Mytilus edulis: one gene and its partner. The protein of the gene in region 1 binds, or shares a complex with, the protein of each later gene. Links are inferred from orthologs where the notes say so. Each region holds a gene or a part of one and is shown in the gene's direction. Other genes may lie near its edges. The genes, in order: protein unc-80 homolog and protein unc-79 homolog.

Region 1 (12,808 bases):
CTGTACACATTATACACAGTAAAACAATACCTCATAAACTCTGAATTTGACAGTATCATCTGTCTGGAGGACTTCTTGTAGAGATGATAACATTTCTGAGGAGTAGATAAAATCCAGACCATCATTTGTTCTGCCTTCAAAAAAAGAACAAGAGTAGTGTTATATATATGTAAAACATTCTGTGAAAGTTAGTCAAAGGAATGAGATTAGTTACACAGTGTGCAATTGTCCTAATACAGGAATTTATCGGGTCAATAAAATTAATATCAGGAATTTATCCTGATGTTGTTATATTACAAATTATTATATTCAAATTCAATATAAGGACAATATCAACCAAATATATTTTAGATATTTAATCTAAAACTGAAAATTTTAAAATATCACGACTATTTATAAGGCAACTTCAATTTTTCTTTCTTTTTTATTAGGTCAATGGTATAAGGGAGATAATCTCAATTGACGTAACAAATAAGGGAGATAATTCCTATTGACGTAATAAAAAATTGTACTGAAATTTATTAGGACGATATCAGCCAATCAAATTGCAAGAAATTATTCTAAATCAGGATAAATAAATTTATTATAGAGGATCGAGGGAACAAAAATTCAGATTTTTTTTTTCATTATAAATTTTATTTATAACACTATTTTTTTTCACTTTATCATGGGATACAAAAATCAACCAAAAAAATTGATTTGTTTTAGCCCCAGAAGTCTTTTAAAATGTTTATATCATTGAAAAAGCTCAAAATTATCTCCCTTTGATGCAAAAATGCCATTTTTTTTTGCATTAAAATTGAAATATCTTTTTTAACACATCATATTTTTTTAATATTATTTTCAAATAAGCTGAACTTCTAAACAATAGTAAAATTGAGGTGATTTCTGTAATTTAGTTCTTTTTTTATTCCGATATTACCTATATGTCTTTTATTAGTTCAACAGAAATAAAGTACCTGAACAAAATGCATGCTTCTTAAGCAGGGCTTGAGCTTAAAAGAATGGTGACCCCATTTTTTAATTTGATTTTTCTATTAAGTATATAATAAAGTTCATTTATAGAAAAAATTGCGAAATCCTATATTTAAAAAAAATCGATTGAACCCGTGAGCCCCCTTTAGTCATTATTATTGAGTTTACACTTATCTACCGAAAATCACCTCTAGTTCAGCCAGCAACCCATTCAGCAAACAATATTGTGAAATAAAAACCCTTATTCATCGGTTAAATTTTAGTAGAAATTAGTACCATTGATTTTTGTCATAAGATTTTTTTGTAAAAAGAGCCAAGCATTACAAAATACAGGCATATTTGACAACATTTTTGCACCTGTCCCAAGTCGGGAGCCTCTAGCCTTTGTTGGTATTGTATGATTTTTAGTTTTAGATCATTTATGTATTTCAGAGTTTAGTATGACATCTATTATCACTGAACTAGTACTAATTTTTGTTTAGGGGCCAGCTGAAGCACGCCCTTGGGTGCATGATGTGCTCCCTGTGTTGAAGACCAATTGGTGGCCTGCAGCTGTTTTTTACTCTTTGGTTGGGCTGTTGTCTCTTTAAAACATTCCCCATTCCATTTTCAATTTTATAGTAGGCACTTGACAAAATGCTTGACAACTACTGTAAGCTTCCTTCTAACTATAAAAGTCCAGTCAATCTATCATAAATTTGACCCTAACTTTGAAGTAATTGCAACAAAAGATTTTAAAGTTTTGATCTTTAGCATTATATCCCAAATACACTCAAAAAAAAGTCCCATAAAATTAACTTGAGGAAATCTAAAAACTCATGATTTTAAAATTCCTATGGAGATTTGCATTGATAAGGGAGATAACTCTTAAAAAATAGTGGTCTTTAGAGTATAACAAAAAACAGGTGTTTTCATATCTTTTATCAAGCTACAACCTAGATTTCATAATTCATTGGTTAACCATTTATAAGATTTTTCAGCATGTCAAAGTAAAGAATCTCAAATTGAATAAAACCAATTCAGGGCTCACACTACTTCAGAATTATAGGGAGAAGTGACTTCTCTTTTTGAAACTGATAGGGAGAAGTGGTGAGATTTGAAAGAGAAGTGCTCATTCGCGCGGTGCGCTACAATGTTTGGATTTTACAATAGTATAAAGGGCCATATGTAAATAATGTTCTTTTTATATTGTTCAATTCATATCTGAGTAAAAAAATTACAATTAAAGTAACATTTGAAATTAAAAGTTGTTTAAGTTTTACTAAGGTTCTTGTGAGAAACTTATTCCAACTAAATATCTAGCACTAAAAAAAAAAAATATTTTAAAAAATGTAAAGAAATTATAATATATCATTATTACAATTTAATTAAAAATTATCTTGTGTATGAAATTCAGTGTTTCTCATAAAAAAATATAAAAGTTATTAAGCTGGGCCATAATATATTGAAATTAGTATAATAGTCTCAGAGTTAAGCAACTTTAATCAATAGTTTGAAACAATCCATAAAAAAATATAGGGAATTATATACACCAATCAATTAGATGTAACCAAAAGTCTCTTTATGTGTGTGGAATGCGTAATTTTTCCCTTTGGAATCAATATTCTTCTGTCAACTGTTCCGTCCGTGCGTCCGTAGTAATTATTGTAAAAGTACGATTTCAGTCATAGCTGGTCCGGTTCAGATCCGTAGTTTAGAAATCGGTCAATGGCGGACAAATGCAAGAAAATTTACAAAAATAAACGATGTTTGACAAGTTATTTGAAAAGGAACATGACGTTTTTAATGCAATAAATGGATTAAACATTTACTGGAGGCAACTTTTTCACGTTTAAATGAAGTAACAAACTTATTTTGCCGCCGAAATTTAGGTTGATGTACGTTTTCGAGTAACAAGCACCGGAACTTGCGAAAATGCATGAAGTGATAAAAAGTTGTATTTTTATCAAATAACCTGCTGCACACTGCGAAGACAATGCTTCAACCTCTTTTCTAAAGATAATGAATCGTTTATGTCTGAATTTCTTTAATTATCAATAACAAATTGATGTTTCATCAACTTGGTAAAAATTGAAAATGTCCGATGACGGAAGCGACTGAAAGCGAGTATCGCCAAGAACAGGGCGACTTGATTTCGCTTTTGGGGGTCGGGGAAAGCGAAGTGACAGTGGGGAAGGCGACTTCTTCGCCCAAGTCGCCTGGTAGCGTGAGCCCTGCAATTAAGCATATATATTCTTCTTTTTGTGGTTTACAGTTTCTTTTAAAAAGGTAGATGCTGAACAAATATATTTAGCAGTTATAAACAATACCAAATATTCACATTATTTATTTCAAATTGGTCACAAAGCCATAAATTTGCAAATTCTTTAATGAAAAATGTGCAAAAAAAAAAAAATACCCATAATACATCGGTTATCATATGTACATTTTATGAGCTGAACATTATATAATATAGTAAAATACGAACTTACAACCCCATCAAAGTATCATATTTTACATGAATTTTAAGAAAATCAACCAAAAACTGACAAAAAAAGACTATTTTTTGCAGAGTTATCTCCCTTTCCAATGTTAATTTCCACAAGAAATTAAAAATGCTCATATTAAGTTTTCCTCAAGTTAGATTTTATTGGACTTTTTTCTGTGTATTTTTAGGGCTTAATGCTATAGATTAGAACTAAAACATTTCTGCAATTAGTTTGAGGTTCAAACTTAGTTTGATTGGACTATAAAGGTACAGGTACAGGTACATTTTTTGTACATTAAAGGATTCCCACTATAGAGATATTAGTGTGATCTTGAGTCATAGCACATGTACAGTCGACTCTCGTTATGTCGAAGTCAGCCGGACCAGAGAAATATTACACGTAGTTCGACTCAAACGAACACCGGAAGTTCGACAATCTAAGGGACACAACTCTTGCTTAGCTTGGTAAAGCTTAAATAAATCCAGCTGAATATGGCAAGGGGATCGATATTCTAGTATCAGATCGATGTATTTGTATGTCACAGTCTTTTATTATTATAATGACATTATTTGTACTTATTCAATTGTTTCAATTAAAAAAAAATGCTATGGCTTTTCCAAGAGAGTAATTTCCAATCGATAGTTTCGTTATTCAGGTCGGTTATAGCTGACAAAATTGTTTATTCTCGGATACAAGAGATTTAAGAAAATTTTGATTTCTATTCATTTTGTTTTATCTCACTCTTTCTTTTCAAAAGAAAATATAACAAGATTGAAGACGCCGTTTGAGTAGTTTTTAGGTGATCATCAACGGAAGCCACAATCCTCACTTTATACACACTCAAGCTCATTAGTGTAAATCACAAATTAATTGTTTTGTAAACATTTTAAATACTTTTTCATGAACATTAACAATGTATCACTAATTATTTATCAAAATTCTATAAAAGATAATCTTAGGTAAACACTCATGGAAATAGCATGTCATAAATCAATACAGTGGTCAGTGACCGGAAATTTAATTACACGTGTATTGTCAGATTAACTCTTCAATCCATTTAAATCCCGGAGGTCATGTTTTGACATATATGTGTATTAGTTCGAGATAAAAAATGAATTTTGAATGCTTTGTTAACCTTGGGACCGTACATTTAGTTCGACTCAACCGAAATTTCGACTCATCCAATTTCGACTCATCAGGAGTCGAATTACATACTTTTGTATGGAATAAAGTTCGGGACCACGTGAAAATTTCGACTCATCCGAAATTTCGAGTCAACCGAGTTCGAGACAACGAGAGTTAACTGTATAATAAATGAATGCACATTATAGCATCTATAGAGAGATATTGAAGTGATTTTAAGTTAAAGACAACATACTAATATTAAGTATCACATTCTGTGCATGTTTTGCCACCTGAAGGGATGGGCTAGCTATCAAATTGATCACTGTTTTGATGACATCTCTTGCTGAATCCCAATTCAAAAGTGTTTGGTCATCTTCTCCAGCAAGTTTTAGCTGAAAAAAAGATTTTAAAGGACATTGATTACAGTAAAATGAACATAATGATTCACAAGCATATGCCTGAATATTTAGCCTTAAGACTGGTGTATGGGTTTATATAAGTCGAAAGTACATGTATGTGCACAATAAAACATTACTGGAGGGGGGCTTCCCCAGAAATTATTTTTTCTGGTAAAAAATGGTATGGTATCATACTTGGTAACTTTATTATCATAAAAATTATCTTATTAACTCAATTTAAGAAGCTACTGATGTATTCTTATAATATTAAGTCACTCTAAAATCTTTTCACTGAGCTTCAATAAACCTTATAAATCGCTATTTATTCCAATCCAAAAAGTTCAAATATTGTCCACTCTTTCAAACCAGTTGAAGCTATCTGGAGCCCTGTATAAACAATGTACTGTGCATGCAAATTTTCAAAGAGTTGTGTTTAAACCCTTGCAAACACTTCGAACAAAGCATTTTTCTTACTTTCATTCATAAACTATACAAATTTCACAATGTTCACTTTCTAAACATTTCTGCCCTCATCTCGTTACTGATGAACTTTGTTCTTGGTTCACTCGACCCAAACAGGAAGTTGTCCAAGTTACTGTTTTTCCTGGATTGAACTAAATAGCAATAAGGTTTATCAAATTGCCCCTTCATCCAACATGAGTGGACATAGATCTATATAAATAATCCTTACTAAAACATAGAAGAATGTTACCTGTCTTAAACATAAACACTGTATCGTGGTAGAAGGGTGCTTTAATCCTATATCAAAATCATTTTTGAATAGGTCCAACCCAACAGCAGGTGACCATGCTAGCAAAACATTTTTTAAAATACTGCAACATTCTTCAATGATTTCACTGAAAGAAAAAAACAATAAAACAGTCACTAAACATAACAATAAAATAACATTTAAATGCAATATATGAAGCTATCTATTCTAATTTCAGATTATCTTTTAAAAAATTGTTTTTGGTTTTGAACAAGCTGTTAATTTAATCATGTTAATAGAAACATAACAATCTTAGATCTGCATGATCTGTGCTTTGTGTCTTTTTTGTTGTAAGAGATGTATTAATAACCTGCAAAATTCATTTATTTAGTTTGATGTTTTATCGATCTGATGAGTTAAGCCCTTTTCAACTGATTTTTATATTTTTTCTCATGTTTATATTGTTATGCACCACTGTCTAAGTTTATAAAAAGTGCCTGTCCAAAGTCAGGAGTCTTTGAATTGTTTCCTATATCAAGTGTATTGAATGTTGAGTAGATATAATAAGATGTGGTACAAAAAATGTATGAGTGACAATGAGACAACTCTCATGGCATCCAAGACACAATTTGTAAAATTAAAGTAAACCATAAATACATTGTAGGTAAAAGTTTGGTCTTCCAAATGAAGCCTTGGCTTCTACCTAACAGCAAACTCTAATAAATCTATTATTCTGATTATTATGCTGAAATAACAGGAAGCAGCAACAGAAATAATAGAGATTATAACACAATACATGTATATGAGGATGGTGAAGAGGAACCCTAAGGTTGCTGTATATAGGGCACCAAAAATGACTAGTGTAAAATCTTTCAAATAGGTAAAACAAGGTCTAATTTATATTAAAAAACAAGAAACATGTATAAATCACATCAAGAAACAACAACCACTGGACATGCTGAACATCAGGTTCCTAATTTAAAAAAAATGTAGAACAGGTGCAAACAAATGCAATGAGTTAAGGGCTATACGTTTTAAGATACCAACCTTAACCCTTACATGTACCTGAAACAAATGGTATAACATTTGAGACACATTATAAAATATCAATAGGAAATGGCTTAACCATGTTAACTCAATATTAACACAAGTGATTTTCATCTTGAATTTAGTCTAATGTAAATTATACATAGATAGTCAACCTTCCTAATGATGTAAGCAAATACTGTGGAGATCAGTCTTTATAAGCCTAAACTGTACAACGCTGGAGATACATGGAGATATTGTGAAGTATAGGATGACTTGCAAAATTGAAGTAAAAACATGAGTTACAAACCCGTCATCAGTGTTTAACAAGCCAAATAACTTCTGTACAGATGAAACTGAGACTACTGTGTGTAGATTTATTGTTCTGACAGATGATAAAGCTGCTTTCAACTCAACCAATGTTGATAAAACATCTGTTGACAGTGTTGTCGTTTCCAAAGACCGACAAATGTCGTCTACATTTGCCGCCATTTTTACGATGAACAGTCTAGAGAGTGTCGAATGTAGATATACATTTCTCGGAAATCTCGGACTCTTTTATTAAAAATATACTGATCAAAACAATCAGCTTCAGCAGCCGATTCAGATCAATAAACAGATAAGAGAGTTCCAGTCATACGCCATTTTTGATGCGAAACAGAAAATTAAAGATGGAAGGGTGTAAATATTTAATGAAGAAGCAATTATAAAATGCCTAAGCGTAAAAATCTGTCTGGTGACGATGATCAATCGATTCCATTGCCTATCCAGGCTTTTTTCTGGCGTCAAACAAGGTGGGCGTATTAAATGTTAATTTCATTAATCATGTTAATCCACATATTCTTCATTAATCATGTTATTGAAAGTTTCTTTTCCAAAAATTTAGTTTTCACAAAGCAATCAAGAAGTTTTTGGTGCCATTTGCATTGATTGAAATGTCAAGACTGAAGGGGGAGCACTCTATGTATAAATTAATATAAACACAACAAAGAGTTCAAATGCACCCATTTATGCAACACTTTAAATTTAAATCTTGTAACCATTAATTTTGCAGACGTTAATTATGTTTAAAAATTATATGATAATTTTATTTGTTTTTGTTCCTGTAAATACACAAAGTTTGTTATTTTTAACTTGGCGTGTACTGGTTGACACACGCGTTCAGTATATTTGCGTTATGGAATTTCCGACTGCAGATTAACCACATAGAAGTAGAAGTAGAAGATATAAATATTTACAAAAGTTACAGAAACCACCCAAATTTTTAATATGATTCTTATTGTTCAATGAACAAGGCAGTGTCTGCATGTTCCCGCATGCCGGTACGCATAGCTAATTCGGCCATCATATTAGGCTATGCGTAACCGCAACCGATTTTTTAATAAACGGTCATATGATCAGGAATAGAACATAAAAGATCATGAAGATACCCCAAAAAATCAGTTATTTACGGATTTTGTGAATTCAGTGTTCAAAGAATGGCAAATAATAAATAATAATTTGTGTTTAATGTATTATTTAAAAAAAAAATAGAAATTAAACGTAAATGCACATTAAAAGAAGAATAAAATTATACTGAATTTGAATAATTGTATGTTAACAATGGTTAATAAAAAACTTGTGTGAAAGTTATTTTCTAATAAAATTCAGAACAGAAACCTGGACATGCTGGAAACATAAATTTTAAAATATGATCTAAAACAACTTAAAATAAAGTTTGAGTGTATACATAATTGAAGATGATAAGATAAAATTTCATATGCCTAAAACTAGATGCATTTGATATTCACATATTTATGATTATTTATTTCAAGAACTTGAACTGTCCTAATTTTGTATTGTTTTTCACTTGTTTGTTATACTTTTTTAATTGGATTATCTTCTAAAAAATAATGGTGTATATCAAATTATATCAATAATTATAATTAATATTAAATAAGATATTAAAATAATAACCAAGGTCATTTCTAGGGGGGGGGGGGGCTAGACCATTTTCGGGTCGCCTGGATTGGCCAATTTTAGCAATGGGAAATCGGGATTGCCTTGTTTAAAGATCGGGAGTTCGGGATAGAAAAACATTGGGATACAGGAAAGCCACGTTTTTAGCCACAGGAATGTGGGATTATTATGTTGAAATATTACGGGATTGACAAACAACTGTACCTTGGACAAAGTGCCATGTTCATTATACTTCAATCAGAATCGCATCTAGAAACAGAGTAGATCCAGATCAGAGTATACGTACATGTAAACCCCAAGGGTGACTGAGGTCACTTGGTCTTCTCCAAAACGGCAGTAAAACGCTTGCTGAAGTTGGCTGTGCGGGATGTGTCAAGTTCGCAGTCACGTCGGTCAGAATGGGGACGTTAAATCGGATGCCTCATGTAAAGAGAGTGCCACACTCTGTGCATGTTAAGAATCCTTGCAACAACTCTTTGAGGCCTGTTGCAAGGCAAAATTTCTGTCCCTATCTAATCTACCCTCATTTTCCAGTGGCAGTCCAAATATCTCCGACCATCATTCCAAAGGGCCTCTTTAATGACAAGACCTACCTATTGTACTTATTGTGAACTTGTTCTCGTCTGGAATATGCATGAAGTATTTGCCACTGGACATTAAGCAACCAACAATCAATCAAAGTACATGTGATAGTACGTTTAGAGATACAGCTTTGAGCTCGGATCAGGTCTTTAATTATTCCGTTAATTAAACGATTCTCAAATTATATCAATTAGAACCCTTTTGTTGTTCCACAAAGACAAACATTCTTTGGCTTTCCTTAAGGAAAAAACAAACATTGTGCTAAAGGACAGCGAAAGCTTCACTGACTTAATCAAATTAAAAAAATATGTTAGGCCAATTAAAATTAATTGCTAGATTTTCATCCCCGCCCGCCCCTCTGAAATTGTCCCGCCCTGATTTTTTTTATTTAACAAAAAAAATATTTCCGGATTTTGTTCATGTCCGTTACCGGGAACCATCGATAATTTCGTTTCATTCAAAACTTCCTGTTTCAAATTTCGTATTTGTATTTCTTCGAGTAATCTAACAAAAATGATTAAGTCGACATATTCTGCTGCTCTATAATGACAACATCATCTACCGAGAATAGAGATTGATAACGAGAAGGGCGTGAAATATTCGAGTTACGAGTAAAACGCCTTGTCCTTGAACGCAAATTGCAGTAGTCACTAGTGAATCGAAAACCGTGTTTTTTCTTTATTTATACGATGACTTTGTGTCAGGAAATTTGGACTGTGAATGATATCCAAAGCGCAAGAATCGTAGAACACATTGGTACAAAAAACATGACTGTATTAAAGAAATTTGCACAAGCACGAACTTGTTTGATTTATGACCGTATATTGAGAAAAAAAAGTCGACAAACACGCATTTTAATTATAACAAGCCCTTATATTTACCCATGGCTGTTGTTTTTGTTGACAAACAGCAAACACCCTTTGTAACTATCCCAATACCCTCAATTTAGTCATTAAACTGCTTTTCGGTTAAGTTCATGTTTTACATTGTACTTTCAATACTGAGTTTACATTTTATTCTGTACTCATAATACTTGTGTTGCATACAATTGTACCAATACATTTTATTGATTTTATGGGGACTAAAAACCATTGCTTAGAAAGCAAAATAAATTTGGTGTAGGTATAGTCAAACTGAAGGGGGCATTTTTCTTCTTTTTGATGTATACTATAAATAGGTTTCTAAAGCGGCAATTACATGTTTAACAGTGGTTGCCAATCAGGGATTTTTATTTAAGAGTTTAAAAAATAGTGTAGGATTCCTTTTACGGCATGTATATACATTATACAAGCTTGTTTTCCACTAGCATATACCCTGCGGTATGAAGAACTCGTGACGAGGGTTTCATATGAAATAAAATTTTAAAAATAAAATCCTCCCACCCGCCCCATTTTTTTCAAAAATTTGGATGAAAATCTACTAATTGATTTTAGTTGGCCTTATCAATTATTGGGGAATTAATGAATCGGCCTGTGAAAAAAGGATGGGGAGAAATATTAATACAAAGATGACCAAGGAAAAGTATATTTATACACAGCATCAATGGGATCCCGAGAAAACATTCCTTCAAACTGAAAGATCAAATTTGATAGGTACATGTAGAAAATTATCTCTTTCTGTGAAAGTACTAATAAGTATTCATTCAATCAACTTGAAAATATCGTTCGATTTTTTATTAAAGTTGTATATACAAAACCTTACCCCCTTTTTTCCCCCTAAACGTGTGCATCCAGTTTCTTATCAAGCCAAATTCTTGTTTTGACTTGAACTGGAATTTGGCCAATTTTCTGACTGGCTACTGAAGATTTTGGTGAACAAAAATGCTTATATACAGCTTGACTTCACGGTAACAGTGATAATACATATTCGGATTGGTTAAGCTGAAAGACTTTGAACATTAATCATAAGCATTGAAACTTTAAACTTTTAAATTTATCGGGATCATGATTTTTAACAAAATATGTCTGGGATTGCGAAAACTTCCGGGTTCATTTCACATTTTATTCCCAATCCAATGACATGAAATTATTAAACCTGATGCAGAAACGCATACCCTACAAAGAAAAATTTGGCTATTGGTACCCGCATGCAGGTACAATGTATGCTCAGACACTGCCTATTTATATAAACAAATTATATAAACAAATCCATAATATATGGGATTGCCAATAGGCCCCTTCACGGTTAAACTGGACCCCTTTTATGTTCCCTTATTGCCAAACTAACAACAGGTAAGGCCTAAATCCTGCAGTCAGCTTTCGGTCTATGTGATTTAATATTCAGACGTGACTGGTGCATCATGTCATGTGTTTATATGTTTTATATCAATCATGTTGACAGTATATCAAATGAGAAATTAGCACATTTATATCCTAAATGAGTTCTAAAAGAAATGAAAGATACTGGCTCAATTTGTCAAGAATATGATAACGGGCTGCCACCATGGGGTTAATTAACAGACACTTATTCATTTTAGCTTTCATCATGTTCATGGATATTGAGTCATGTGATCCTGATCATATGAGTTGTAGACCTTTCAGTAGTGAGAAGTGATACTTAGAGCACTGTCCGTGAAATAACTTCAAAACGTTTGACAAAATTTTTTAAATGTTAATAACTGTGACTAAATGAAGAATCAATTTAATTTCAAGATTTTAAATTGTATTATTGTTAAGTTGTAGATAGATATAGGAAAATATGGTGTGAGTGCTAATGAGACAACTCTCCATCCAAATAACAATTTTAAAAAAGTAAACCATTATAGGTCAATGTACGGCCTTCAACAAGGAGCCTTGGCTCACACAGAACAATTAACAAGCAATAAAGGGCCCCAAAATTACTAGTGTAAAACCATTCAAACAGGAAAACCAACGGTCTTATCTATATAAAATAAAAAAATGAGAAACGAGAAACGAGACCTGTAAGTAACAAAAAGTGATGTTTAAATTGATTTTGGTCTTTCTGTTCCTGAACATAAATTTTCTTTTGCAGTCCATTTATAAGACCAAAGAGAGGAAAACTGTGTGAAGCAGCTGTAGTTGTAAGTTGAATAACATAATTTTTGCAGATACAAATTTATCATGTATATATACATGTATGTGAACATTTAAAAAAATAGTCTTTTAATAATAGTTTGCAAATGTGTTGGATATATATCCCATTAAAAACTTGTTATGTCTGAAAAAAAATTATACAGTACTTAGAACTCGAGTTGCACATAATGAACAAAAGTATTATGTTTTTTTGTGTATAAAAAAGAAAGCTTGCTCATGTGCTTTACGGTACTAGCCAAAGAAAGTAACAGAATACAAATTATTATAAGATAAACATAATTTAGCCATTGAAAAATTAGCCATCATAATGAGTCTTACATGTACATAACATGATCATTTGTTACAGTGGCAGATTTGTTGAAAAAGCAGCATACATTTTTACACTACACTGTATAAACTGTTATATATTTGGTCTACAGGTCATGAAATCAGGATTTATTTAAAGATGAGTATGCTTTGAGATAGTTTACACTGCATATCTTTTTAAAAAACATTAAATTGAAGCAATTTATG
Region 2 (13,091 bases), on another chromosome or scaffold:
ATAAATATTCAAAAAAAAAAGGAAAGGAACACTACATGCAAATTAGTAAAACGTTATTTGCAAACTCTACTTTCACAACTATGTATCAAAAAGAAATATCAAATCTTAAAAACAGCAGTGAGAATGACAATCAATATCCACTTACTCCTTTTAAAATGAACACTATACCACAAAATGGATAATAAGTTCTAAATGCATGGTGACCAAAACTTACATGAGCTGCATTTAAGTTAGCAGCATTGGAACTAGATGGTATATCTGTTTTAGCTTGTGCTAACCAGTTAGCAGCAGCTTCTGAACTAGACACATTATCTCTACTAGGTGTTACAATCACTGATGGCTAAAATAACAGGAAAATATAAAATTAAAAACATGTCAAGTCATGAGATCTGCCTTAAAATAACTATTCATAAAATCACACATGTCAAGTTGTATGATACTGCATTTAAAAAATGGAAAGAATTATGGAATTAAAAACACATCCAGATTCAATTCACCATGGGGAGAACCTGAATTTGCATCAATTCGTACTTTAACAGGCATTCACAAATCCTACTGTTTCATCAGTTGATGAAATATTTGATTATTTTTTATAAAGGAAATTTTATTGATTCCCACAAGCTTTTTCCACATATGTAAATTTCACGTAAACCTTAAAAAAAATCCAGATGAAAAAAAGTTTGATCTTGGTACATGGAAAATTGACGAAAATCAGGAATTTCATTTCAGTCATTTGTAATTTAAATCAGACATCAAATGTATCTTTTTTTAATGACATCAAGATGAAATTTGTGTCCAAGTTTGATTTATTTCAGCAGTTTCAGAGAAGAAGATGGTTTGAAAAAGTTAGATGACATATGAGCTATGATGTTACAAACACCAAATAATGGCATTATCTCATATTTGCCCATTTGCGCTAAAACATATTTCTTACCGCTGCTTTCAAGTCTGTTTGCTTTACTGGTTTTGCTGGTGGTGGCTTGCTGGTCACAGGTTGTGCCACCGGTTGTGGTTGGGTTGGCTGTGTAGCCTGTGGTTTTGGTTGAGATATACTTAAGGCAATCAATTTATCTTGGACAGGTTTGGTTGGTGTTGATCCCTGAGATAAGTCTTGAATTGCCTGGAAAAACAAGATATTAAGTTGATTTCACATTCAAAGACTCTACTATTCTAATTATGATGAATGGAAAATGATCATTAAATATCTAAAACATCACTATCTGAATATAGATTTTATCAAACGGCTGGGTCCTATACACCAAAGTTCAATTCAATTATTTTGTTCAAACATTTTATGTGTGCTGGATATGAGGACGCTCAATGTCATATGAAGCCTCTCAATATATTTCACTCCCCCTTATCAATTGCCTCCTGAAGATGAATATATTATGTAATATATTTTCTCCTTTCTAATCTAATGCACTATCATTAGTAAGTGGTCCAATATTTTTTTTAAATATCACCTTGAGAATACTTTGTTCATATACAGGATAGAAAGTAATGTACATGACAGAATACTGGGCTGTGCCAAGCTGGTTTTAATTTTTCCTGATAATGAATTATTTAATAGTAATAAATGAAATACTTTACCTGTTCATATTTTTTGTGTTCTTTTACTTTTTCATTTTGTAATCGGTTCTGTTCTAATACCATAACATTTGCTAATTCCTCTTTTTCCATAGTTTTTCTCTTCTTTTCTTCAATTTCATATTCTTTTTTTGACTGTCTATATATGAAAAATGATGCAGGTCATAAGTTATTTTTACAAAGAACAATCCATTCATATGAGTAAATATTTAACTTCTTTCAACTGAATGCTTTTGAAAGGCAATTCAATTTTTCCTGCAGTTTTTTATTCAAATCTTCCCATACACTTCACCAAAAAATTCTATGTCATCATTTCAAAATTAAAATTCTAGTTATCAAATTTCCTGCATCTCTTAAAATACAAACAAGGTCCAATCATTATGTTGATGCAGTATCATTATCTATAATATAATGTTGTTATTTATAATGTTATACATAATAAGTAAATAATCATTCTACAAGCCTAATATAGTTGAATTTAATTACCCGGTATGCAAAGCTAAGAAGGTGTTAATTCTTAATTCATCATATTGGCATATGACCCGAAATAAGAGGAGTGAGTGAAGGGTTGTAATGCACTTCAATATCTATATCCAAGACCTAAGTTCACCATTTCTTAATTTTTACCCTGAACTCTGTTTTTTTATAGGTTTAGAAACATTGTTGAGACTTATGACAAGAAATCCTGATTGGCCTGATTGACACACAAAAGATTTGGAATAGTACCCCTGAATATTACTTACTCCATAACTTTAGCCAGGAGTTCTTCCTCTGCCTCTTCTGCAGTTTTTGCTTTTTTTGGAGGAGCGGTTGTAAAACTATCTGGTATACTGCCTGTAGTCTTAGCCATCATTCTTAATACCTGCTCTTGGAGCTCAATATTTTTTAAAGTCATTATTCTAACAAACATACTAAAATCATCCATTGCTAAAACCATTTCAAATATCACCTGAAAACAATAAAATAAAAATATCTTAATAATTCATATTCTGTTGTTATATTTAATTATTTCTTACTTAATACAGAAGCTCTTAAAAAAATCATGGATATACATGATGTCAAAGTCTAACGAATGATGATTTTTATCAACTTTTAGTGTTTTTGCAAAAACTATAGTAGATATAGAGAAATTGCAAATATCAAATATGAATAGCAGAAGAATACTTAGCAATATGATCTTAATGTCAATAACTACTTTTCAGGAGGTTTACTTATGATTTGGACAATATTGACTCATGTCATTGTCTTATTCCGCTTATTGACCAGTTGACAGACCCAAAGTGATGAGAATAGTGCAAGCCTACCTGTCAAAACTTTAAGTAAGCTTATAATAAAACAAAAAATCTAACCCATAAAGAAAACATTATGTACCTGAAATATTTCTTTAAGATCATCTTTGGCATTCATTTCTTTAAATGCATTGATGATATCTTCATGAGACAGTTTTGAATCCTTCCTAAAGCCGTCTAACAATGTGTTTATCTGAAAATCAAACAGATATTTTCTTTAAATAATAATTTCTCTCAAACAATTACCATTAACATAATCAATTCAACTTGTATATTCTTTATCTATAAATAAATAAATTATCTGGCACATATTTTATAAAACACAAAATACAATGAGAGACTTTCATGACTTTAATGCATTTTTTTGTGCAAACAAAAATCTTTCATTCAGATGAATATCCTGTTCTTTTTTATTCAATTCCTTTTATATGTTTATTTATATATTATTTTTTGTTGGGGTTTTTTGGGGGGAAGGGCGCCTTGCCTTCTATTGAGGTTTCTTAGCCCTTTGTCTTATGCATTAAATTAAGTATAGATGTACAAATGTATTATTGTTTATTGAAGATCATTGAAAACTCCAAAACATCTTTCATGTAAAAAGAAAATAAATATAAATTCATTATCTACCTAAAAGAACAGTCATTTTTTGCTGGCTACACTATCTAAAACCCCCCACTGATTTGAAGAAACAAAAGTTTTTATTTTTCAAATTTGTTCATTTGAATAAATTGCCCTTGAACAATACAAGAATTGATTATCTTTCCTTGTCTTTCCACCACTATCCTTTCAGTCACTGTAAATATCATTTTCATAATTCTCTTCATTTACAGTGAAACATTTTAAACCAAATACATGAAATAATGATCTTTAGAAATGCCAGAGTTGTACAGACAGGTTTCATTGTAGTGATATAAATCTTACCAAATCATGATATGATGTATGCTGTTCTCTGTACTCCTTACAGTCTTCTATACTGGGGTCAAAAACTGAAATCATAGCTGCTTGTTAAGTACCAACCATTATAATTAGGTTCAATTTATTATTGTTACATTTTTTCGTAACATGTAATGTGCCATGGGTTTTGCTCATTGTTGAAGGCTGTACAATGACAAATAGTTGTTAAATTTTATGCCATTTGGTCTCTGGTTGAGAGTTGTTTCATTGGAAATTATACTACATTTTAAATTTTTTTATACCTTACAATGTTTACTTTATATGTAGTTTTTCAAATTACAATGAGAATAAACATTGGATTTTAATACACAAAATCAGATAAATAATTTTCAATGTATCTGCACTATCAATATCTTATGGCTAACAGATTTTGTGTAGGCATAGCTATAATAATTCATGACTTAATATATTAAGTATGATTTTGTGTACAGAGTCAATACCAAAGCTTATATAATTATTTGTCTCTAAAATCCATACTTGTACAACAGACATGACAGAATTATCTGATTAGATTCATTAATGATTTTGTCTGGATAATTAATTCAATTCTATTAATATAATAGCTATTGTATAATTTTGCTACTTTTATTATGTAATAAACTTGATATTTGCATTTTATGTCAGGGGAAAACATAAAAGCCTGACATTTTATATCTGTTGGAGCTATTTTCAATTTATTTATTGTGTTTGACGTATTAACTGAAGATAGTTTTCAGTAAATATTTCTGGAACAAATGCAAAATCTGATATTAGAATTTTGAAGTGTTATTACCTGTATATTTTTTAAATTAGGAATTTAGGAAGTCAGGTTTTATAGCGAGTCCAGTTGTTCATAAATATACATTCCAATTTCGCTTTAAACTAATCAATTTGGCTGATTTAGATTTTTGAAAAGAGAGCTTTGCCCCCATGGATCCAAAATTTGAATCAAACATTTGATTTGGTTAAATCAGTAAAGAAAGATCAAACACTTGCTTTACTTTGGAAAAAAACCTGTTCAACAAATTTTCAAATTTATTATTTGCTTATTGAGTTCATTTGTTCATCAATAAATTTTTGAAAACATTAAAATCACATGTTTCAAGTACAGAATGTACCTCCATATCACTTTAGAACTGAAGTTTTAAATAAACAAAGTACAGTTTTAACAGTGATTTTGATTTAAAAATGATACAAATGTATAAATTCACTGTTCAAATATTGACTTCAAATTACAACTTTGAAAGTACAGTATCAGGGGGGATTTAGGCAGGGTGTGCACCCCCCCCCCCCCCTAAAATTTGCAAAGCATGGGTTGACTTCAACATATTTAAGTATCAGAAGAGACCATTTAATCTTTTTTAACATTCAAAGTATATAAAACAGTCAGTTCAACAGAATCAACGTGATTACTAATCAACTGACCTATGCTTTATTAAGGTTCTATAAATAATTTCAAAGGAAGGTCTCAAATGCAGAGCTGCGTTTGATGACAAATATAATAGGTTTGTTAAAAGTTAAAAGTAAAAACAAAGTTACATTGTATTTGCGGAATTTATAATCAATTTGTTTGATAATTGAAGTTTCAAATCATCCCTTACTCACTTTCATAATTTCATCATGACACAGTCAAGAAAACAGTCGGCAGGTGAGATTCTTTTATAATATCCGTAATGAAAGATAGAAATACTGTTTCAAGCGAAAGGTTAGTTTATTAATTTGTATCTCTGTGTCTATATTTATTTCTCACTTGCAACCTAAATATTTAGCCGAATTCTGTACCGTATTACTGTATGCTTGGGCTCCCAAGAAAATAAATATAACTGCGCAAATGCATCTCATTCTGATTTTAGTTGTTTTTGGCGAACACAGCTAAGTCTGGCACGACCTCCGAAAATCAAAAAACAGATAGCACGAAAGGACAATTAAAAATCGCTGGTAAAAGTAGAACTTTTCGTTTGAATAATATATTGGTCAGGTGAGCAATTGTGATCTGTCTCGTCTCACTTTGCATCCTTCTGTCCGCCCGTTTATCTGTAGATTGTTGTCAGGTGTGGATTAAGGCGGTTTCAGCTTGATACTTTAATTCCTCACTAATTTTAACACACAATAGTTCGAGATATCTACATTTCACCCCTTTAGAAGAATATTTCAATAATTTTACCTAAAAAAAAACTCCAAATTTTTTTCGCCCCCCCCTAACTGGAAATCCTGGACCCGCCCCTGAGTATATATGATAATAAACAAAGATATGTCCCGCTTGTTCAATGTTGTTAGTAATTTTGACAGTATAATGCAAATGTTGAAAAAAAAGTGACAATATTTTAAACATGCATATTGTTGTGTGTTTGTTTTTTTATACATTGGCTTGAGGTATGGGTGAGGATTGAGATCTCAAAAAACATGTTTAACCCAACTGCAGTTTTGCACCTGTCCCAAGTCAGGAGCTTCTGGCCTTTGTTAGTCTTGTATGAATTTTAATTTTAGTTTCTTTTATAAATTTTGAATTTTAGTATGATGTCCATTATCATGACAGCATTGGATCAATATAAATAGGACCTGAATTTGTTCATTTTTCATTTATGTCTCTATTTATGTGAGTTTTACCTACCTACCTGGCTCCAGAATCAACGAAACGGCTCATCTTTTTTGTAGTCCGAGATTACTCTGATGTCCAACAGCTGTTTTTCCAGACAAGCTGGGGCCGTGGGACGTCAGAGCTCGTCCCATATCAAAAAGTGGATATTTGCCAACCCATAATAGATGCGCTGCTTCGTCGCTTCTGGTGCCGACTGATGGCCTTGGAATTATATAAATCGGGCATCAATCTGTTCATTTTTCATTTATCTTTTCATTTATGTAAGTTTCACCTACCTGCCAACTTTTATTTTTCCATATTTTAACAGTTCACAGAGACCCATCGATTTCTGCATTTTGACTTTCACTTTCAAATGGACGTCAAGTTACGAGAGAGTTCGTGGCCTCGAGACTCAAATATATGCAAATTTTGTAGGAGATCCATGTTTAACATTTAGTAGCCAACCACGATTTTTCACCTCCTTTACAGGAGATCGGTATTAAGCATTTAGTTCCGACCACGAGAACAATCGGAAGCTCTCGCACATTTAGATAACTTGCATCGTAAATGAACGAGGTGTTACATTATGGTCATTTGCATAAATCATCATTGTTTTATCGTGGTCACGTGATAATCTTTGAAAATGAAAGGCAGCGCATCTATTTTGGGTGGGCAAATATCCACTTTTTGATATGGGACGAGCTCTGACGTCCCACGGCCCCAGCTTGTCTGGCAAAACAGCCGTTGGACGTCAGAGTAATCTCGGACTACTATTTTGGAAGGGCTTATACCTATTTTTTACATGGGACGAGCATCCCTACTTCAGCTTGTCTGGCAAAACAGCTTTGGGCGACTAGCTACATGGGGCATTGCCATACACCTTATCGCTATTTGTCCGACATTACTGGATATCACACAGGTTACCGTAAAATCTTGACGCCACAAATGGAAAAGTGATTGTTGCATGAGGTCAAAAGTTCAAGCGGCCAGGTCATCCAGGAATAGAGATAAGGTGTAATGGTTAAACACTAAAACACGAAATTTCATTTAATCTTTGTGTCTCTTTGTTGGTTTTTCGTTCACTTTTAACATTACTGGATTAAACTTAGTTCTTATTCCTACAACTATGGTGACTGTCTGAAAAAATACATACTTATACAATTTGCTTCCATGAAGGTTAAAACTGGAACCTGAAATAATGGATTGCCAAGAAATGTAAGAAGTTCATCGTAGACCCAGTCTGACCTAGCCATTTTGGAAAAAGAGTTGTCAACAAGGAAGTCTCGCGTAGTTACCCGAGAATCTAAGCGGTGTTGTGAACACTTCTTACAGATTATTTTGTTCTGGAAAAATATGTTATAAAGAAATTTGTAAGAATAATCATCATGTTTATTATTTAAATGTTTATACAAAAACAACATAATTTTTATATAGAATATGCATAAATCAATATTTCTACTCAAGAATATTACTGTTAGTTTACTAACGTGGAACAATTTTTTTGACATTATTTTATCTGACACCGCTCTGCATCCGCAGCATTTTCATTCGGGTTACTCGGCTTTTACCCTTTCATAAAGATGCCGAGATGAAATGTATGCAGGACAATATATTATTAAAATCTTACCAACATGACGACCAGAGCAGCGACTTGTAAGTTTATTTCAGTTAAAGTGTGTCATAGCCGTAGGAAATTAATGATGCAAATAATATTTTATAAAAATAATTGCATTTTTCAGGGTTCAATCAAAATCGACCGAACTTATTTTCCAAATTTTTGGCAAACAAACATCCAGGGGCTACATGTACAATTACAGATGTTGAATGCAAAATACATCCCAAACTGCAATCAAGTTATACTTTTATTTCAAAAAAGAACAGTACAGTAATGCAAACAAACAAACAAATATTTTATTTGCCAATCACGGCGCCCAACATGAGCAGAATAATCACAATATAATTTTCAGACATACATGTAATGTAAATTAAAAATAGGTTAAACAAAGTACACACCATCCAAACAAACACTAAGGTCAAGTTAGTAGAAATCAAAATAAAGTTTAAATAATTGTCTAAATAGAATTTCAAATGAATACTTAAGTTATACTGACTCTGTTTTGTATAAAAGGGTTAAGAATAGAAAAAAGAAAAAGTTGTGTCTGTTTTTGTCAGTACATGTACATGTATATGACAATGCAATGTATATACAAAATTAAGTTAAAATAAAGGAAGAATATAACTAGTTTAAATCACATACATTGTACATGTACATGTATGACAGTATACAGCTCTTGGATTGCAATTTGAAATGTTTTGTTGTAGTTACATCCAAAATACGGAACTTGAAAGATTACAGATCTCGTTTGATAAATAATGTACAGCCATTACCAGCAGGAAATGAAATTGAAAATACACTGAAATATTTCTCACAGACTTTGCTAAGGTAAGTGATTGTTGGGCACTCTTAAGGTACAAATGTATTCATGAGTTTGGATGAAGTTGTCACACAATAAGATGACTCAAATACACATGTTCTTATAAAACTGTTATATATTTGACAGGTTTATATCTCATCTATGCAACTAACTGCATGTACTACAAGAGTGTTCAATTTCAATAAGTTTTGTATCAACCAATTAATGGTCTGCAGAAAGGAATAAGTTGCTTTGCAAGAATTTGCTCAAATGAAACTAGAAAACTGACATGTCAGCAAGGGCTCCACTTGAACAATTTTATTTGAGGCAAAGATTAGCATGATTGAGATGATACATTCTGTTTATATAATGCTAGTTCATAAAACTCATTTTGCTAAACCTAAGTTGTACTAAGATACGTTTTTTGGTTTTAAAAAAATAAGGGATAAATGCTTAATACATTCTAAGGTTGTTTTAATATCATATTTATATCAAGATCTAGTTCATGTAGTTTTTGCCATGTTATGATAAGTTGTGAAATTGACTTGACCACCATTGACTTTTTTTTTTAAATAAAAAAAGTGTAACTTGGTGTACAACTTATAGATATATCTTGATCAGTTACCCTTTTTTACAGTGTGCTGAAAGATGTACCCAACATTCCAGCTGAAAGTTACGGTCCACGACAAAGGGACAGTGTTAGACTGTCAGTGTTTCCCAACCTGAACTACACAGGACTTTATCATGCTGTTCTGGATATGATAGAATTAGTTCCAACTATGCAAATAAGGCAGTTGGGTTAGTTTATATGATGATGTCTTTAAAAGACTTATGTTTTTATGGATTAAAATGATAGTTTATATGAAACTGATTGATTATTGTTAAATGATCATTAAATCAAAAATATATGATGTGTAAACAATGATTATTTCTTAAATAGGACATACATGTATGACTCTTAAACAATGATTAATAGAAAATATCATTTGCCAACATGTAATTATGCCATTAATTTTTTAATTATTATTTTTTCAGCCAAAAAAGCATTGATAAGAAATATGATTAATATATAAAACAAATATTTCTTTTATCTTTTCAGAAGTTGGAGAGAATGTATTGAAAGTTCTAGGTTGTCTTGTTCCCTTCCTTGAGCATGACTTATTGGATTCTCTCCCTTATACAGTGGCATCTACCCTGGCTATATTTCCTCCTACATTACACAAAGAAACTATAGACTTATTGTGTAGTAATATGTTACCGATGACACTTGGTAAGTTAATGCAGAAAGGCAGAAACATCTATTTACCCAGAGTTAAACTGGGATATCTCGTCTGTGACTCACAAGATATTATAATCATGTGAAGGAGTCATACAATATAAGAAACTGATGACACTAAGTAAGTCTAACATGTCTAACTTGATTACCTCTGCTGTTATCCTTCACAACACAAATACACATGTTCAATTGATTAATCATTTATAAATATTGTTTCGTTGACACAGGAATTTGGACATAAATGTGCTTGAACTACTATCTGTTATACAGGCAAAGACTATTAATGTTGCATATTTATATTTGTAAGTCTATTTTTATATCCCTTTCACTTCTGATGTATTAAGTCATTTCCCATGAAAATACTTTTGTACATTACTGTAAAATTCAATAAACTATTTAGTCCTACAGCTAGGCCCAAACTACCTTTTGACTTTCAAGGTGGCAAAAATGAATGGCACATTTTTATGCATATGGGCAGAAATTGTATCATGATTTTACAAGTATAATTGAAATATAATAGCTCATCCATCCATAACACACAGTTGTAAAACATTTGTTTATATTGTAGGGTATGATGGAGGATTTGAACCTACCTATGCCAGTGAGTCAGCTGCAGCAATAATAACAATGGTTCTACAGCACACAGATAATGGTTGTAAGTAATACATTATAGTAGAAAAAAGGAAACAAAACAAGTTTTCACAATAACACCATACCTACAAAAGATAATTTAATTTAAATTACTGAAAAAATGTAAACAACACATTAAAAATTTCATGCATCCAAAGCGCTTTTCTGGATTTACCTTCATCAGGACCATTTAAAGCAAAATACATGTATAGATGTACTGCATTACAAGGAAAAGAAAAATAGAAATTCTGTCACAATACAGTATGTATTACAATACATATCATTTTAAGACAGTTTATAAATATCTTAATTCATAGGGTTAAATGCTGAAATCACTTACCACAATAGATGAACAATCATAAAATAATTTGAGTTGTTTTCCATAAGGATACTAAACATAGAAAGCAGCAATGATAACCTAGGCACAGAGTTCTGCTGAATTATTATTTACATTTTTAGCTCACCTGGCCCGAAGGGCCAAGTGAGCTTTTCTAATCACTTGTCGTCCAGCTGCGTCCTGCATCCGTCGTCGTTACTTTTACAAAAATCTTCTCCTCTGAAACTACCTGGCCAAATTAAATTAAACTTGGCCACAATTATCATTGGGTTATCTAATTTAAAAAAATATGTCCGGTGACCTGGCCAACCAACCAAGATGGCCACCATAGCTACAAATAGACCATAGGGGTAAAATGTAGATTTTGGCTTATATCTCTGAAACCAAAGCATTTAGAGGAAATCTGACAGGGTTAAATTGTTTATCAGGTCAAAATTTATCTGCCCTGAAATTTTGGATGAATCGAAGAACCAGTTGTTGGGTTCCTGCCCCTAAATTGGTAATTTTAAGGAGATTTTGCCGTTTATTATCTTGAATATTATTATAGATAGAGATAAACTGTTCATAACAATAATGTTCAGCAAAGTTAGATCTACAAATAAGTCAACATGACCAAAATGGTCAGTTGACCCCTTAAGGAGTAATTGCCCTTTATAGTCAATTTTTGTTATCTTCTTAAAAAATCTTCTCCTCTGAACCTACTGAGACAAATTTATCCAAACTTGTCCACAATCATCATAAAGGTATCTAGTTTAAAAAATGTGTCCAATGACCCCACCCACGAATCAAGATGGCCGACATGGCTAAAAATAGTATATAGGGTAAAATGCAGTTTTTGGCTCATATCTCTGAAACCAAAGCATTTAAAGCAAATCTGCTGTGTATAAAATTGTTCATTAGGTTAAGATTTATCTGGACTGAAATTTTCAGACCAATCGGGCAACTTGTTGTTGCTTGCTCGCCCTAAATTGGTAATTTTAAGAAAATTTTGCAACTTTTGGTTATTATCTTGAATACTATTATAGATAGAAATAAACTGTAAACAGCAATAATGTACAGAAAAGTAAGAGCTACAAATAAGTCAACATGACCAAAGTGATCAATTGACCCCATAAGGAATTATTGCTCTTTATAGTCAATTTTTTACAATTTTCATAAATTTTTTAATTTTTGTAAATTTTTACAAAATATTTTCCACTGTCACATTATGGGCCAATTTTATTTTAAATAGAGATAATCGTAAGCAGCAAGATTTTTCAGTAAAGTAAGATCTACAAACACATCACCAACACCAAAACACAATTTTGTCATGAATCCATAGGTGTCCTTTGTTTAATATGCACAAAAACCAAGGTGAGCGACACAGGCTCTTTAGAGCCTCTAGTTTATATAGGTATCTTGATACTTGGATTAAAATTAGAACTTTGACTTTCAGCATATCACTCACAGATACTAGAATGCTTCATGAGTATCAAGAGAGATCTAGTTAAGGTCAGTATAGACTAAAACATATTTGTGAAATAGTTTTCTTCAATGTTTTCTACACAATAAATTGAACAGTCATTAAAATGTATTGTTCAGTTTCTACAAAATACTTTTATTCCCATGAATCATTTAAGGAAAGGTCCTCTTTGAAATACTATTTTACTTTATTTTGTTAACTCTAAAAACATTATTTCACCACTCAAAGGCAATTTAGTGTTTATTTAAATTTAAATGATTACACATTCAGTAAATTAAGGGTTAAACAAAAGCATTATTTTACATAAATATGCATAGTCATGTACCCATAAATTGCATTCAAATATGTTTTTATGTTTTCATGACATGTTTGTTATTTCAGGATATACTGAGTATAATAGCATATGGACCACCATCGGCCAGAGCTCCTGCAGCTAATCTTCTGTTCTATTACTGGCCACAATTAAACCCGGCATTATCTGATAGGAGAGGGATACACTATAAATATATTGGTAACTTATATATAAATAAAAAGATGTGATATTTTTGCCAACGAGACAACTCTCCATTAGAGAACAAAGCAGCA

The links.
Region 2: the proteins of protein unc-80 homolog (region 1) and protein unc-79 homolog are in contact, whole or in part, in a cryo-EM structure (PDB 7W7G), measured with the Mus musculus proteins. The link is inferred for Mytilus edulis from reciprocal best matches to the Homo sapiens genes UNC80 and UNC79. Residues at the interface, in NP_780719.2 of Mus musculus: Gln23, Thr24, Trp27, Ser31, Leu34, Arg35, Pro36, Ala80, Pro83, His84, His87, Ser94, Asn95, Asn180, Ala183, Leu187, Phe190, Leu191, Arg337, Leu340, Gln341, Pro342, His343, Arg1317, Asp1320, Glu1321, Asp1324, His1545, Val1546, Asp1547; in XP_030102533.1 of Mus musculus: Thr120, Tyr123, Ser127, Ala130, Thr131, Leu168, Ser169, Ser172, Met175, Ile176, Gln179, Tyr180, Tyr207, Tyr211, Gly212, Pro213, Ser214, Val390, Cys391, Glu394, Glu402, Phe405, Arg472, Cys541, Asp917, Phe920, Ser965, Glu966, Phe967, Ser968.

The regions. Positions count from the first base shown.
Region 1 is NC_092345.1:26,664,612-26,677,419, reverse strand, and holds the start of protein unc-80 homolog, read left to right. Parts: upstream 1-7,225; 5' UTR 7,226-7,412; coding exon 7,413-7,495; intron 7,496-12,233; coding exon 12,234-12,282; intron 12,283-12,808. Other genes in the region: 26S proteasome non-ATPase regulatory subunit 5-like, read right to left, coding at 31-134, 4,822-4,960, 5,679-5,823, 7,012-7,193. UniProt on the Homo sapiens protein: Auxiliary subunit of the NALCN sodium channel complex, a voltage-gated ion channel responsible for the resting Na(+) permeability that controls neuronal excitability.
Region 2 is NC_092346.1:71,310,468-71,323,558, reverse strand, and holds the start of protein unc-79 homolog, read left to right. Parts: upstream 1-7,916; 5' UTR 7,917-8,018; coding exon 8,019-8,040; intron 8,041-8,709; coding exon 8,710-8,830; intron 8,831-9,438; coding exon 9,439-9,599; intron 9,600-9,900; coding exon 9,901-10,071; intron 10,072-10,645; coding exon 10,646-10,732; intron 10,733-12,479; coding exon 12,480-12,535; intron 12,536-12,887; coding exon 12,888-13,017; intron 13,018-13,091. Other genes in the region: cilia- and flagella-associated protein 36-like, read right to left, coding at 215-340, 935-1,120, 1,591-1,726, 2,331-2,536, 2,959-3,069, 3,798-3,862, 7,541-7,640. UniProt on the Homo sapiens protein: Auxiliary subunit of the NALCN sodium channel complex, a voltage-gated ion channel responsible for the resting Na(+) permeability that controls neuronal excitability.